2 linked regions of the Alligator mississippiensis genome follow. The protein of the gene in region 1 interacts with the protein of each later gene in a pairwise test. Links are inferred from orthologs where the notes say so. Each region holds a gene or a part of one and is shown in the gene's direction. Other genes may lie near its edges.

Region 1 (7,592 bases):
TAACTGTGTTTAGGAGTTAGTTGACATGATGCTGACCATGACTGCTTAACCTAGAGAAGGACAAGCTGTGTTCAGCATTCTGGGCGCGTCTACACATTCAATTAATGTGCCTTAGGTAATGCGCATTAAATCTAGTACCTGCATTGTGGGGTACTGGAAAGATGCGTATTGGCTTATTTTAATGTGCATTAGCTAAAGAGCACTTTTTGGGGGGTGATGCTTTGATGCACATTAACATAGGCTAACATGCATTAAAGCACACATGTAGATATGCCCTCGGTTGCCTACTTGGCACATCCTATTCATACACTCACATGCTAATAGGGCACTGTCAAACAGGCAGCCTGTCCTAATCTTGAACTGATAGCCTTGTAAGCTCGCAAGAATTGAGGTGGAAAGGAGGATAGAAAGATGGTGGGAGCACAGTTTGCACAAGTGCATTCAGCAGGGTGTGATCCCACCTGTTGTGGCTTCCTGGTAGATGGGTTTTTAAAAGGGTTGCATCTCCCATTCTCATCTCCATGTGCACCTACACAAAGACAGGGAAAGGAGCGCTGGCAGCAAGACTGAGAAGCTCTTACTCTGATCTCTTTTGTACGTAACAGCCCAGAAGCACTACTCCAGCTGTGGTGCCTCAGCTGGAGGTGACAGACCAACAAGCACCTCTGACCTATTTCCCGTGGCCGCAGCCCATCTCGGCATTACCGGCATCAACCCTGCAGTATCAGCCAGCTTCCTCCACGCTTCCTGGGCCGCAGTTTGTCCCACTTCCCATCTCCATCCCAGAGCCAGCCCCACAGGAACTGGAGGACGCGAGAAGAGTGATCAACACACTGCCCATTGAAAAGCTGCTGCTAGAAGATGACGACAACGATACGTACGTTTTAAATAACACTCTCTCTGTCGAAGGGCTTTAAAGTCATGCATTTGGGGCCTGATGCTGCTTTCCTTGCTCACCCAAAACTCCAACTTGCAACACAAGTTTTGAGCGTAGAAGAAAAGTAGCTTTGGGCCATTTTGTTTCTTCTTAAGATGTTCCTGGCATTCCCCATTACTGTTCCCTTGGTATGAAAATTGAACTTGCAGTGAAATTCCTCTGTATGCGGAGGATGAGGCTTACGCATCATTAATGTGCTTACCATATTAATGCTTCCAAATCGGGTACATAGATTTGGCGTTGACTGTCAACACGGGGTGAATTTCATCCTGGGATGTGCAGGGTGGTCTCAAACTGACACAGGTGTTTTGGTAGCACATTTGCTAATGCTGTAGTCCCCTTTTGTAGCGTGTGGTAAGACAGATTTGCCTACAAAAGTATTAGCAGGTTTAATTTGCGGGTCTATTTTCTAGAGCTCTGCCTAAATATTACGTAGATCTATCTTTGCTTTGTTCACTCCACCAACTCCACTGCCACCGTTAAGTTGTTTCAGAAAAGGTCAGTGACAGTGCTGGGCCTGAAATGACATATCCTTGTAATTAGACAGCCTTTGGAAAATATTCGTTCTACATTTAGGAATAGTTCCGCTCCTGTGTAAGCACAGCTTGGTAGCCAAGCAAAAGGCTGATATCAGAAACAGAACCGCTGAGACACGGGCCTGTGCTGAGATGCAGCCGGTGCTCTGTATTGTTACAGAGCTGCCCCCAAAGAACTGGGCACTTGCATCCTGATTTCATTCACTGAACATGGTGACCAAATTCTCAGACACCTCTTGACCCAGAGCTGCAGAATCAGCCCAGAGCTGTTAAACAGCAGTGAAGTATTTCCATGTGAAATGTTTCCCCATAACATTAGTGCACGGCTCTCCTGCAGTGGCACACAGAACAGACCCTGGGCCCATACCGGTCAAGGGGAGTTCTGCAAGGTGCAGCTCCATGACAGAAGGTCGTGGAAATAAATGACCTGCTAAAACCAGGCGCTTGGTATCTCAACAAAGTGCAGGTGGGTGGCAATGCAGGCAGCTGGCAGCACTGCAGTTCTTTCTCTTACTCCTGAGCCTTAGCCATTGGAATGATGATATATTATCATGATGTATGATACAACATCCCCTGAAACTGGGGATGGGCCATGTTAAATACCAGAGCTGTTGAGGCCTCTAATGTATCTTATCAATATTCCTAGTATTAGAGAGTCTTTTAAAGTCATGGGCCTGAACAGCACCATCATGCTGGTTTATTTTTCTTCCCTGGAAAGCGAGCAGCATGTACTTCCCTCTGTAATGCAATTGTAAAGATCATTATTGGTGTTCAATAGTACCATGCCACGGACCAAGATCCTTGCAGGAGGCTGTATCTCTTTTAGCATTTGCTAATTGTTTCTTGGATTTCCAAGGGAGTCCCAGCTGATGAACACAATTTCTCTGGGTTTTTCTGCTTCACAAAGCCCAGGATCTTCAGATGATTCTATATTTGGAAGAACATTTTTGACTGAATTTATTCAAAGGGCTGCTCCCTCACACTGTCATGACCTGGTGTCCAGTGCTCCATTTCTTACCCAGGCAATATTTCAAATGGCATCTCAGATTTTGCCTGAGTAAGGACTACAGGATGAGGTTGAAAGTCCATAAGAATTTCAAAGCAGGTTTCAAAATTAACTATTGGCAAATCTAAAGGATTTAAGCATCAGATCATATCAGCGATCATAAAGTTGTCTGAAAACTGCAGTCATTTTGGCTTATTGATGATATTAGTGGCTTAAATTTGCAGAAAAACCCAGCAAAGAAATTAACTAGCAGAGGCTTGGTTCACCACTGTTTACTCCAGGTTTGCAAAGACAGCCAAGTTATCCTGGTCTAGGACTGGGGTGGCACAGTTGTGAATCAGACCTGAGGTTGCTCCAATTTGTGTTAACCTTCTTTGAGTTTCTTGTATGTAAAATCCCCTGGTGTGTACACAGTGATGATGTGTTGTCTGTGAATTTCTTTCTGGGTTGTTCTGTTAAATGAAAAAAAAAAAAAGAAAAAAAATCTCAATAAAGATCTACAGTAACTTTTCTATGCCTAGAGTGTTTTCTTTTCCTAGCTGTGGCATTTGGCACACTATAACCACACTGGTCTGAAATCAATAATGTTAGCTTGATAGCATATTTGCAGAAATATAAACAGAGATTAGTGATTTGGCTTTGCACTGATTTTTGAAATATAATGTACACTGAACATGGATGCCAAGACCTGAAAGTGGTCTCAAAACCTGGCTCTCTGGAGTAGTCCTTACTCTTGCAAGTCATGCCTCTGTTCATGTGTGTTTCATGATGCCTGTTATCTCTATCCCTGTAGTGCCTACAGGCTTTCAGTGAGTGTGGGGCATGTCACCCCAGCCTCTTTACAAACACATAGCAGGAGATGCCTCCTGTCTTGAAGGGCCTGAACTCTCAATGGAGAAGATAGACAAGTCAAGCATCTGGGTGGAATAAAGCTGAGAGGTCTGCTGACCTCCAGTCCAGTGGTTTATCTACCTGCTAGATCCTCACCTCCTAGGGAAGACAGAAAAGATTGGCATGATCGTTCATTGGCAGGATCAGGCCAAACTCTGCTGGTGCAGCTGAAGCTCCATCGTGAAGCTGTGCGATGTTACCTCAACAGACAATTGGTCTGTGCAATAACTTTGGACCCTGATTTGTTTCCTTCATATTGTGTCAGCCCTTTTGAAAGCAGATTCCTTTTTGCTAATTTGGCCAAGTTAACTGGCACCCTAATGCAGTTTGATGGATTGATAATGCATTAAGGTTTCAGCACCTTTGTATTTTTTCTCTTGAGGTTGAAAGTCCACATACTTTAGCTGACGCACTCCCTAACATGGCCCTAGTCCCAATAGCCTTCATTTCATGCAGACGTCTCCTTATTCTGGCAGAAATAATCTGTGCAAGAAGTGAGGGGGTGTGGGTTAGAAATCAGACAAGCAGTTAACCTTTGCAGGCCTTTTCAGACACGGTAGAATATGGGCCTGGAACAAACCGTTTGAGGCGACTGCAAAGAGCAGAACAGAGTCGACTATGAAAACAATTATTTATCCCTCATCTTTTAAGGGGAACTTGCAGAATAATATTTCGGAATGAGAAAGCAGGCCAGCAGAATGGCAATACCACCAATGCCCACCATGTGATATTTCCCATTGTGGAAATTTTAGACCCTAATTTCCTTTCGGTGCACACAGCTGGAGAGTCCAGAGTCCCCTGCGTAGAGCCACAAAGCAGAGGTTCTGTACAACTTAACCGCAGGGATGACCCATGCCGAGGCAGTGATCAGTGTCTTTATTTGCTGTCTTAGAATTCTACATATTTATGCAGCTAAAGGTATGAGGGCGTACACGCTGGCAGCCGCAGAGCGGATGAGAGAACTGCGAAGACTCGATGCCAAGGAGCACAGAGGAAAGGTAAACTTTTTTACCGTTTTTATTTTTAAACCAGGAAACATGCCTTTTTCCTGGTAAAATCAGAAGTGCAGCCTTGGGGCCATCCATGGTTTTTAATTCCATTTCGTGTCTACCATCAAACATGTGGAACACAAGTAATGGGGGTGAATTGCTTGGGGGTGAATTTCACCCTGGGAACAGTGCAAGATTTGCTTCACGGCTTCAAGCTGGTAGCTCAGGCAGGTCAAGCTTCTGTCTCTCCCCCTACTCTAGACCAATACGGCTACAACCTGGATACCTGACGTATCCCAAGAGGCATATTGCACTCTGCCGGGAGCTCTCTCGGGCAACAGGAGGGTTCATTCTTCCCTGCACCGACTCTACTTCCAGCCCCATTTTCTTTTGTTGGTAATCTGTCATGCTGTTGCCAGAGTCTTGCATTATATTTATCTTGGTGCTATTTTCAGACTCCTCTGTTGGTGGCTGTAACTGCCAAGCAGCCAGCCATAGTCAATGATTTGCTACTGACAGGGGCAGATGTCAGTGCTGTTGATGACAAAGGGCAATCAGCTTTACATCTCGCCGCGACATATGGTTACGCCCAGGTCCTCCAGGTAAGAAGGGTTTTATGATTTTAATGGCACACACTGTAAAAAATACGATACAATGGCATGACTGATTGAGAGATCCAGGCCTAGCAGAAATGCCTCCAGAGTAAAGATGTCTGGATGTAAAGATCTTTGACTTATTTTCATGCTTTCCATTCACAAAGCTGAAGCCTATTTGCAATGAATCCACCACTTGCCGCTGTTGGAGATGGCATTTGGGGCTAAATAGACCATTGTTCTGACCCTGTCTGACAGCTGTCATATTCTTATTTTACACTTTAGCCTTTCACTTCCAAGGAACTTGTTGTATCACATCCAGATGGCAGTCGTAATTCATAATCTGAGTTCTGGGCCAAACTTTGTAGTTGAAATCTAGGTATATTATTTATATTGTATTAGTACCCAGAGTCGCAATCAGACCTGGGCCCTTTTGGACTCTGCTTCATATAAACATGTCAAACACATGTTCAGTGCTTTGAGCCCCTGAGTTAGTTTGCTGGTGGAAGAGACAATGAGAAGGTGTAACAACCAAACAGAAGGAGACATTTCTGTTTGTATTTCAAAGGGCACATCTACACAACAGACCTCTTCCAGCAAAGCTTTGTTGGTGGGACATGAGCCCTGATGGATTGGGCTATGCCAGCAAAATTCCTTACACAATCCCTACCCATACAACTCAGCTAGGCTGGTACAGCTCATTGTGCCTAACAGCTAGTGGTAGATAAAGCTATATCAAGAGCAGCTTTGCCAGTATAATCTACATCCACAATGGAAGCACTTTGCCATGACAGTACAGCAGCATTCTTACACGATGGGCGTGTCTACACATGCATTTACGCCGGATTCAATTTACTGTGCAGTAAGCAGGAATAGGCTAGTATCTACATGTGCAGGAGTTAAAGCACATTAATGCTGTGTGTGGACTGACTTGGGACTCATGTTAGTCCCGAGTCAGTCCACACACACCATGTTACTGCACAATAAGAAGTCTACACGCCCGTAACTGTGCAGTAACTAATCAGGCGTAAATGTGATACCTGCATGATGCAGGTATCAAATTTATGCTCAAGTCAGCATAAGACACCATATTTACTGTGCAGTATGGGTGTGCACATAGATTCATAGATGTTAGGGTCGGAAGGGACCTCAATAGATCATCAAGTCCAATCCCCTGCATAAGCAGGAAAGAGTGCTGGGTCTAGATGACCCCAGCTAGATACTCGTCTAACCTCCTCTTGAAGACCCCCAGGGTAGGGGAGAGCACCACCTCCCTTGGGAGCCCGTTCCAGACCTTGGCCACTCGAACTGTGAAGAAGTTCTTCCTAATGTCTAGTCTAAATCTGCTCTCTGCTAGCTTGTGGCCATTGTTTCTTGTAACCCCCGGGGGTGCCTTGGTGAATAAATCATCACCTATTCCCTTCTGTGCCCCCGTGATGAACTTATAAGCAGCCACAAGGTCGCCTCTCAACCTTCTCTTGCGGAGGCTGAAAAGGTCCAGTTTCTCTAGTCTCTCCTCGTAGGGCTTGGTCTGCAGGCCCTTGACCATACGAGTTGCCCTTCTCTGGACCCTCTCCAGGTTATCCGCATCCTTCTTGAAGTGCGGCGCCCAGAATTGCACGCAGTACTCCAACTGCGGTCTGACCAGCGCCCGACAGAGGGGAAGTATCACCTCCCTGGACCTATTCGTCATGCATCTGCTGATGCACGATAAAGTGCCATTGGCTTTTCTGATGGCTTCGTCACACTGCCAGCTCATGTTCATCTTGGAGTCCACTAGGACTCCAACATCCCTTTCCACTTCCGTGCCACCCAGCAGGTCATTCCCTAGGCTGTAGGTGTGCTGGACATTTTTCCTCCCTAGGTGCAGCACTTTGCATTTCTCCTTGTTGAACTGCATCCTGTTGTTTTCTGCCCACTTGTGCAACCTATCCAGGTCTGCTTGCAGCTGTTCCCTGCCCTCCGGCGTGTCCACTTCTCCCCATAGCTTTGTGTCATCTGCAAACTTGGACAGAGTACATTTGACTCCCTTGTCCAAGTCGCTGATGAAGACATTAAAGAGTATCGGTCCAAGGACCGAACCCTGCGGGACCCCACTGCCCACACCCTTCCAGGTCGAGACCGACCCATCCACCACGACTCTCTGGGTGCGACCCTCTAGCCAATTCGCCACCCACCGGACTGTGCAGTCATCTACATCACAGCCTCTTAACTTGTTCACCAGTATGGGGTGGGATACCGTATCGAAGGCCTTCCTGAAGTCTAAACATGTAGACGCACACCCATACTGTGCAGTAATTTTGGTTACTGCACAGTAAATACACGTGTAGACATGCCCGGTAGCAATGTTTAGTGGGCTATGACTGTCCTGTTTCACAGCCGGATTCTGATGCCCTGCCTCACACTGAAGAGCACCATAGTCTTCTATTGATTTCAACAGGATTTCTTGCAGTTCAAGGTGCTTCACAGCATGGGCGTCTAGTTCAGAATCTGACCCCTTAACAGGTCATCGTTTGCTAATAGAAGCCCTTTGCCTCTCTCTGTTTCTGTCTCTCTCTTTCTCTCTCTCCATCTCCAGTCCACTCCCAGTATAGGCAGCTTCATGGCAGAAAGTTATGGCCACTGTACTGATGGGATTTC
Region 2 (8,178 bases), on another chromosome or scaffold:
TTTCAGAGGAGCAGGCAAGTCACCAACATCTTTGCTATTTTTGCTACAGGAATGCTTGGTAGTAGATGGCATCCCTTATGTGTCTTTTCTGATTTGTTACTGACGCTCACAAGTGAAGTCACTGCACTGTAGTACTTTCCCTGTGTGTTGTGAAATAAAATGTTAATCTCTAGGAATTCTTATATAATGTTCAGCTCTAAGGAGGATTACATCAGACGTTCTTATGTTATTCTTTATTTATAGCATACATTCCTACTAGTTTGAGATTCCCTTTTGAAGAATAAAATCAGGACTCTGAAAGATTTTCTCTCTGCAATGGTGCTGTTTGCTCCCATTAATGCTGACTGTTCAACATGGCATGCATTTTTTATTCTAAATATTAACACTTGCAACTAACACGACAGATACTATAGTAAAAATTTAGCATCACAGGGATTTTTTCTGGTTTTGTTATAGTCTCCCTGGAAGACGATAGAGCCACCAATACCATTGTAATGTGCAATAGTATTTGGCTTGTTCATTTTATATCAGAACACATAGGTTCATATTTTAAGCATTGCTCTTTATTAATATTCTACACAAATGTCAAAGCAAAACATAAATGTCAAAATGGAAAGAACTAGGCAAAAAGAAACTAGCCAATGAATACAATAAATTCAAGACAACTTTCTACTCCTGATATAATCCCTTTTACCGTGTAAAAAGCACCAAAAGAGTTGCACCAAATCACAATCAAAGGGCATTTCCCCCCAGTCAGGTTGTGTTTCTTCATTGCGTATATTGTTAACAAACAAATGTTTAGAAACACAGTTTGGACTATGTTAAAAAACCCACCCCTTCAAATAGGCAGAACTCAAAGTGCTGGCCCTGCATTGCAACTGAATTCACTGACACAGCAAACAGTTCCAGGATCAGGCTTACAGCAGTCAGTGAAAACTTGGGGAGAAACTATGCCAAAATTAATCTTTCTTCTTTTTTGGATTTTCCTTCACAGCTATCAAATTTTGATTCCTGTCACTCCCTTAGAACTGGCTGCTGCTGTTTTGTGCTCATGCTGTTAATTTAAAATATTCTGTTTTCTTTTTTTCATGTCAAGATGAGAAAACAGTCTTACCTGGCAAGGGCTTCAAATACACTAACTTTTCTAAATTAACCAGAGCTAATAAACCCAAAGTATCAAAACAAGCTCTTAAAGATACTCTGCTTGCTTCTCACCCATCCAAGGTAAATGTACAATAAGCACTGCACATTGTCAGCAATATATCCAGGCTTTTACTGGGGAGTCATGATAAACACACAGTTTGTTAGAGTCCTTCTAAAGTTTATAATGGATATTGGAACCTTCTATCAAAAAGGTAAAAGCAGGTGGAGGCACCCTGAAACTTTCCCGTTTTTTATTTCTTTTTTGCCTGGCAGTTTTGAAAACGGTAGTGTTACAATGTCTAGCCAGCAACTCTGTGCCTGCTTGGTCATGAAGTAGATTTTTTCTTCATCCCTCTTCTTGCCTGGCTTTTCTAATTCAGATAATTTTGTTCAAATAAAGCTGACACAGAGACAGTGGACTTAGTCAAGAGCTAGGCAGCAGGATACATTTTTCAGTACTATTACAAGATCTCAGTAGGAAACAATCCATAGGTTTCTTCATATGTAAAGTGAAGAAAGATTTCTTCAAAAGTAAAGTAGTCTCAATTAAATGAGTTTTGGTCCTGTCCTGAAGGGGCTAAAATTCCTCACTTGCCATTAACTCAATCCCAATAGGTAGTTTTTTCAGGAGGTCATATGTACTATTCTGCCAAGGTTAGCTTCACAGACAATTTCTCCTTGCTATTTGTCATCTTGGAAATAGAGTAACGGACAGAAAAAAAAAGATGTGAAAACATCAAAATCCTTCATAACAATAAGGAGGCTATACTTTTCAAAGTGAGGTGAGCAGAGGTGGGAGAAACAACTGAATAAAATATACTCACGTTTTAAACTCTTGGTGGTGATCTAGATTTACACATCCAAATTACAATTAAATAATGCTAAGGTGGTAACTAACTCACACTAGAAAAGAAATGTGCAATTAAGGAGAAAATATGCCATATGTCCTTCAATATCTAGGCATATTGTAGTACATTAAGAAAGTCATAAAGAAGACACCCTGTTGTGGTTATGTGTTCTGAGACATGTGGCACATTTTCATTGTAGCTATTTATTTTCTTGCTTGTGTGATCTTGTGCTATTATTTAAATGTAGGCTTTGAGTGTGAATGTTCTTTTCTATGCTAAAACAGTCCTGCAGTATCTTGCCTATATTTTCATTGAGTTTAGTTACTGTTAATGAATATGGAATCCTTACAACTTTACATTATAATATGAAAACAAAAGATTGCTAAGGAAAGGATAATAATAATAGTACTGTAACTGTGTGAGGAAGGCAAAGGAGAGGAACTAGAGAGGTAAAGTTAATGCAGATAACATGGTGATAAGTAAAATATTAAATACAGTAAGTGAAACATCCTAGGCAAATGTGTAGTGAATCTTCTTGCACTATCCTACCTCCCTAGAATGACCTGGACTGAAAGGATTGGACCAAAGGCAATTCTAGTACAGCCAGCCAGCCAGATGAGCATCAGGTCAACTGAGGATACTAATTCAGAGGCCTGGCAAAGGAAATGCCATTCTGAGAGCAGAGAGAACCATAGCCGGCATGAAAGAAGTGAGGATATTGGGTGAATACAATAGTAACTTCCAACAGCACACAGACCCAGTAGCAGTGCAGTTGTAGTGTGGCATTGAGCATGTGCCAGGGCTCATAGCCTACTTGGGGTTTGGGAGGTAGTGGGTAGATCTAGGATTTTGAAAAGGGAGGTGCACATTGTGAGGTGCATCATCACATGTAACAACCCATGTTTTTCTTCAGGTAAAAAGAACCTACAAGTTTTACTAATATGCTAGGGGCCAAGGGCTGTGATATTGTTTGAGGTTGATGTAAAAACAAGTATAACTTCATTGGAATGAGTTAAAAAGAGTCTGCAGGGCTGTGCAATAGGAGCTACATTCCTAGGAGCAGCAAACAGACAGCAGTGTTGTAGAACAAAGGTGAGCTTCATGGGTAGATCAAGGCAATTCAAAGGAGAGAGGGTAGTTTAGCACCAATGGGATGAAGAATTTGGAAGGAATCAGGTGGATACGAATGAGCAATGAAATCAATTGACACCTTTAGCATTGCCAGATGAGAAACGCTGTTGCTACTGCCAGCCTGTTGGTTTTAAACTTTGGGTGGAGCCAGGAATCAAAGTGGGGGCCAGGGGTGGTGTGTGCAGCGAAATGTTGCCAGGTGTATGATAATTATCATATTTGTATGAGTTTCAACCCCTGTATGATGTACAATCAATAATAGTAAAAGTGTTCACCCTGCAACATGTATGATGGCAGACAAGGTTCTTTGGTTAAATCTGATATATTAGACCAACTCAAATAGTTGGAAAAATTCTTAGCAAGCTTTCAGTCACACACACCCTTTGTCAGAATGAGGAAGCATCTTCAGATGGTCTGGTCTCTTCCTGGATGTAGTGGTAAAGCAGCAAGAGGCCAGTACCTATGCAAGAAAGCCATTCAGTTGGTACCCGAAAGCTTGCTAAGAAGATTTTTTTCCAAGTATTTAAGTTGGTTTGGTAAAAGATACTGGATTTACCAAAAAAACCTTGTCTGACTGTGTCCCTAGACCAACACAGCAACAACCTGAACCCCCAAAACGTATGCTAATTTTTGAGACAGCTTATTGCTGCAGCATATGCAAAACCCAAGTCACTGTCAGGGAGTCTTAAATGACTTCTGGGTTTGTTTGTTTTTGTAATTATATTTATTTATTTATATAAAGTTATATATATATATAAATCCTCTATCCATTACTTCTGGATTTGCTTCTAGTACTTTTGTATTACTACTTGTCTCAAAATAAAGAAATGTTTCAACTTTGATGACCCAGTTCTCACTCACTCACTGCAGATAATATAGTGAGCAATATAAAGTAAATAAGAAGACTTATTTGCATCTTTTTCAGCATACCATAGTTTTTCAGCAAATAGAATAATTTTGAACTTCCAGTATGATAATTTCATATTTAGGACTTGGCAACGCTCATGCAGCTACATCACTGCACCTGCCTGGATCTGGCCCTGGAGACAGTGCAGGCTGAGTAAGGCAAGCCTGTAGTGTCTCAGCCAGAGCCTGAGGCAGCGCCTGGGTCTCCCACTGTCTCTAGCAAACAGGAGCTGACTTCAAAGAACGTGGCAGCTTGGCACGTTTCTCCTCTTTGGCACCAGCCTCCTGGACCCAGGGCAGCCACCTGTGGCATGGCTGGAGAATGGGCATCTCTGCCGCAGACGGGGGAGGGAGCTGGAAGAGCAGGGGATGGAGCAGCAGCTGGCGCCAGTGAAGGGCAGGTTTGTGGGGCAGATGCCTCCTGCCCTCTCCCGCGTGGCACAGAACTGAAGCCCACGCGCGTCACAGACGCGTGAGGCTGAGGTTCGCTGGGAGCCCGGCGTGGGCTCTGCGCATGCGCCATCGGGCTCGGGCTCTGAGCAGTCAAAGGAGCGCGGAGCTGCGAGCGCGCCAGCAGGCCCCGCCCCCGCGTGCTCCCTGCCTGGGTGCAACCAAGTCGGAGGGAGGGGGGAGACATCGCGCCTTCCCTTGTCACATGAACATCCTGCCCCCCCCGGGCCGTACCACTTGCCGCCTACTCTGAGCCGGACGAGCGTCGGGTAGGAACGTACCACGTCCCAAGAGGAGAAGAGAGGCGAGGAGAGGAAATGGATCCACCAAAATAACGCACTTAAAAGCCGGCCTTCGGTACCCGCCTACCCCCGCGCGTAGCGGAGGAGCTGTGGCTTCGGGGCCTCCTCATAGGCTGCTTGCAGGGCGCGGAGGAGAGGCGTTACACTGCCGGGGTGTGCACTCACCCCCCTCCTTCGGGATGCGAATGGTGCGGCCCGACAGCCCGCCCCTCCCCCCGCTTGCCGTGGCGCTGAGCTCATGGGCCGGAGCTGCCGCCTCCCCCACCCCGCCCCCATCCGCCGGGCCTGGGGCCGCAGCTGCCCGCGGGGCCCGACATGTCGGTGGCGTTCGCGGCCCCGAGGCAGCGGGGGAAGGGCGAGATCACCCCAGCCGCCATCCAGAAGGTGAGGCGCGGTCGGGCGCTGCCCCCGGGGGCCCGCGGGTGGGCGGAGGTGGGCATAGCCGGGGCTCGGCCCGCGCCGCCCCGCCCCGCACTTTCCCGGCCTTTGTGCCGAGGGATAGGCTGTCCCGTCCGCCCGGCCCTGCCTCCGCTCCCCCCGGCGGGAAGGAGAGCCGCGCAGCTTCCCCGGCGGGCGGCTCAATGGGTACCGCGGCCCCTCTCCTCCGGGAACGTGTCCACTCCTTCTTTTGGGCATCTGGCTTCAAGCGTCGGCTTCCGCAGCACGCGGGGGCAGCAAGTTCGGCTCTCCAGGGACAGGCTGGGTGGAAAAAAAACTTAGTGTTTGTTTTTTGAACGGAAGACCTGCTGCTTTTGTGTTGTGGCCCCTCGTTCCTGCGTGAGGAGCCGTGTTTGCACGCCTCCTGCGCTAAGGTGGCGTGCCCCATGGCGCTGCAACGTCCTGCTTGAGAGTCATTGGTGCAAAACTTCCAGCAGTAGCCAAGCGCCTAATGAGCTCCATGGTATTGCCACCTCTCTTTGCCTTTCAGGGTAAATTTCAAGTTCAGTGGGAGGAGAAATTTTCTCCTGGAGATGCGTGTGGCTGGCTGTTATGACTTTCATTATTTTGGAGGGGTGCAAGTTGTAGCCGTATTGGTTTAAAGACATAGGCAGACAAGGTTTCTGTGGGCACATCTGATATCTTTTATTAGACCAACTGAAATAGTTGAAAAAAATGTTTCTTAGCAAGCTTCCGGGTTTAAACACCCGTCATCAGGCTGAGGAAGCACCTGCAGTTGGTGTGCACTCATTGAGAAACTTGTAAGAGTCCTTTTTGTGGATAAGTAGGAGCTGTGCTATTTCATGACAATAGCTTCTGACTAAAACATTAATACATGCGAACTCACAATCCCAAAGGCATATACAGTCTGGTAGAAAAATCATACCAGTTATGCCAACTATTAATAAAATGCTTCATAATTTCTGATTTTGTTTTTCAAAAGCACTTCGTGTTGAGGGCTACTTGTAAGTAAGTTTTTTAACTTTTTTTTTGCCTATATGTGTTGTTGTTCTTAAATCAACATTGCTTTCTAGTAGGGAAGAGGACTTTTTTTTTTTTTCATAGAGTTTCCAAAACAAGCATCTGAGCAAAGATCAAATGTGGAGTCTTTTGAAACATTAAAATAAGAAGACAATAGATGCTCAAATAGAAAATCTTTGGCAACTGTAACTTTAGTAGTGACTTGACACACAGCCCTAAAAATGGAAAGTGGGGAGAGAAGGATAAGAGGAGGGGAAAGTTCTACAGATGCAGTAGCAGACCCCTTTTATAAAAGCACTTTTTGAACAGTCATGTTGGTTAGGAAGTGGAAGTCAGTATCGCTTTTTCAGTTCCTTTTCAAAGAGTGTTTAAACTTATTCCATGTTTATGTTTTTGTTATTTCAGATGTTGGATGAAAATAACCATCTCATCCAGTGTATAATGGACTATCAGAATAAAGGGAAGACCTCAGAGTGCTCTCAGTAAGATGTTAATCTGACTGTATTTTTGTAATTAGTAAAATCAACGATGTAACTAAACTCCAGTGTGCTCACATCTTCCCATGAGAGAATTGTGCCAACTAGTTTGTAAAAACATTCCTAATGATGCTGTGTTCTTGATTTTTTTTTTTTAAATTTAGCTTATTAATATTTATTTTTTCTTTTTCAAAGCGACAGAAGTTCTATTTTAATTTGATTAGCATATGTTAGATGGAATAAAATGTGTAGAACCAAAAATATATAGATTCTTGCATATGTTTCAGTGTCTTAATCATATCTTGAAGAGAAGGGTTAGATTACTTGAAAAAATTGGGAAGAAACAAGAGTATGGAAGAGGAAACTTGAAATGGATCCAAAACTTTTACGCCCAACCAAATGTGACCTCTTCTTGCTATAAATGAATGCATAATGACAAGCCTGTTTTTGGCCAAGAAGAGTTGGTTATATTTCCATTTGGAATTAGTTAATTAATGTTAAGAAAGTACCAACACAAACCCCTTCATCTTAACTTTCTGCATTTACTTTGTGCTGCTTTCAAATGCTGCTTGATTGGAGAGTGACACTCAAACAACTCCTTCCTGCTGCTGTTGCTCGTTCTTTGAGTGCTGCCCCACTAAAAGATCGTGCTTGTATCTCTGCACATAAGGTTAACAGTAGTATTAGCAGGAATTTGGTGCTTTTAATTTTCAGTGTTTTAGGTTACTAGGGAAGCAGCATTTGTAGATTCATAGATTATAGTCTCGCAAGGGACCCAGTGGATCATCGTGTCTGACCCCCTGCCCCTGGCAGGAAAGAGGACCTAGGTCAGATGACCCCTGCCAGGTGATTGTTAAGCCTCCTCTTTAAGACCTCCAAGTTAGGTGACAGCACAACCTCTCTTGGAAGCCCATTCCAGACTCTGGCCACCCTTATTGTAAAAAATGTCTTCCTAATGTCTAACCTAAATCTACTCTCCGCTAGTTTGCACCTATTATTCCTGTTACTCCCTGAGGCGCTCTGGTAAACAACGCATTCCCAATTCCCTGCTGTCCTCTCCTGATAAATTTATAGGCGGCCACAAGGTCACCCCTCAGCCGTCTTTTGTATAGCCTGAAGAGATCCAGGTCTCTCAACAGAGCACTGAGGCATAATAGGACTTTGGTTGGATTTGCATTTTATAAGCTAAATGCGTGCATGCAGTAGCTGAAAATATCTCTACCAGATATTAATAGGTATATTTAATAATTCTCCCTGGTGTTCTCTGCACAGTCTTGTTTATGGGTTTCAGTAATTATAATGTTGGCTGGGTACTTAGCTTTAAATCACCTTTTCTTGCTTTCTGTTTGCCAGGGAAGGTGGGAATTTACAATAATCTTCAGTGGTTTATTGTCTCTCCTACTGCTGCTTAATTTTTGGCAGCCTAGATGCCTGGTCTGTGTTTCTTGGTTCCTTTTGCTCCTGAACTATAATCTAGATTCCAGGACCCTTAGTCACTTATTG

What was found. The genes of interacting proteins can lie anywhere in the genome.
Region 2: the proteins of NFKBID (region 1) and SS18 interact in a two-hybrid assay, tested with the Homo sapiens proteins (2 studies listed by BioGRID and IntAct). The two-hybrid records come from large-scale screens. The link is inferred for Alligator mississippiensis from reciprocal best matches to the Homo sapiens genes NFKBID and SS18.

The regions. Positions count from the first base shown.
Region 1 is NC_081839.1:31,299,693-31,307,284, reverse strand, and holds the start of NFKBID (NF-kappa-B inhibitor delta), read left to right. Parts: upstream 1-4,180; 5' UTR 4,181-4,215; coding exon 4,216-4,368; intron 4,369-4,814; coding exon 4,815-4,961; intron 4,962-7,592. Other genes in the region: POU2AF1 (POU domain class 2-associating factor 1), read left to right, coding at 606-917. UniProt on the Homo sapiens protein: Regulates the expression of IL-2, IL-6, and other cytokines through regulation on NF-kappa-B activity. Functions in the regulation of inflammatory responses.
Region 2 is NC_081826.1:85,083,615-85,091,792, forward strand, and holds the start of SS18 (protein SSXT), read left to right. Parts: upstream 1-5,014; 5' UTR 5,015-5,095; coding exon 5,096-5,164; intron 5,165-5,372; exon of another isoform or gene 5,373-5,669; coding exon of another isoform or gene 5,670-5,681; intron 5,682-6,604; coding exon 6,605-6,681; intron 6,682-8,178. UniProt on the Homo sapiens protein: Appears to function synergistically with RBM14 as a transcriptional coactivator. Isoform 1 and isoform 2 function in nuclear receptor coactivation. Isoform 1 and isoform 2 function in general transcriptional coactivation.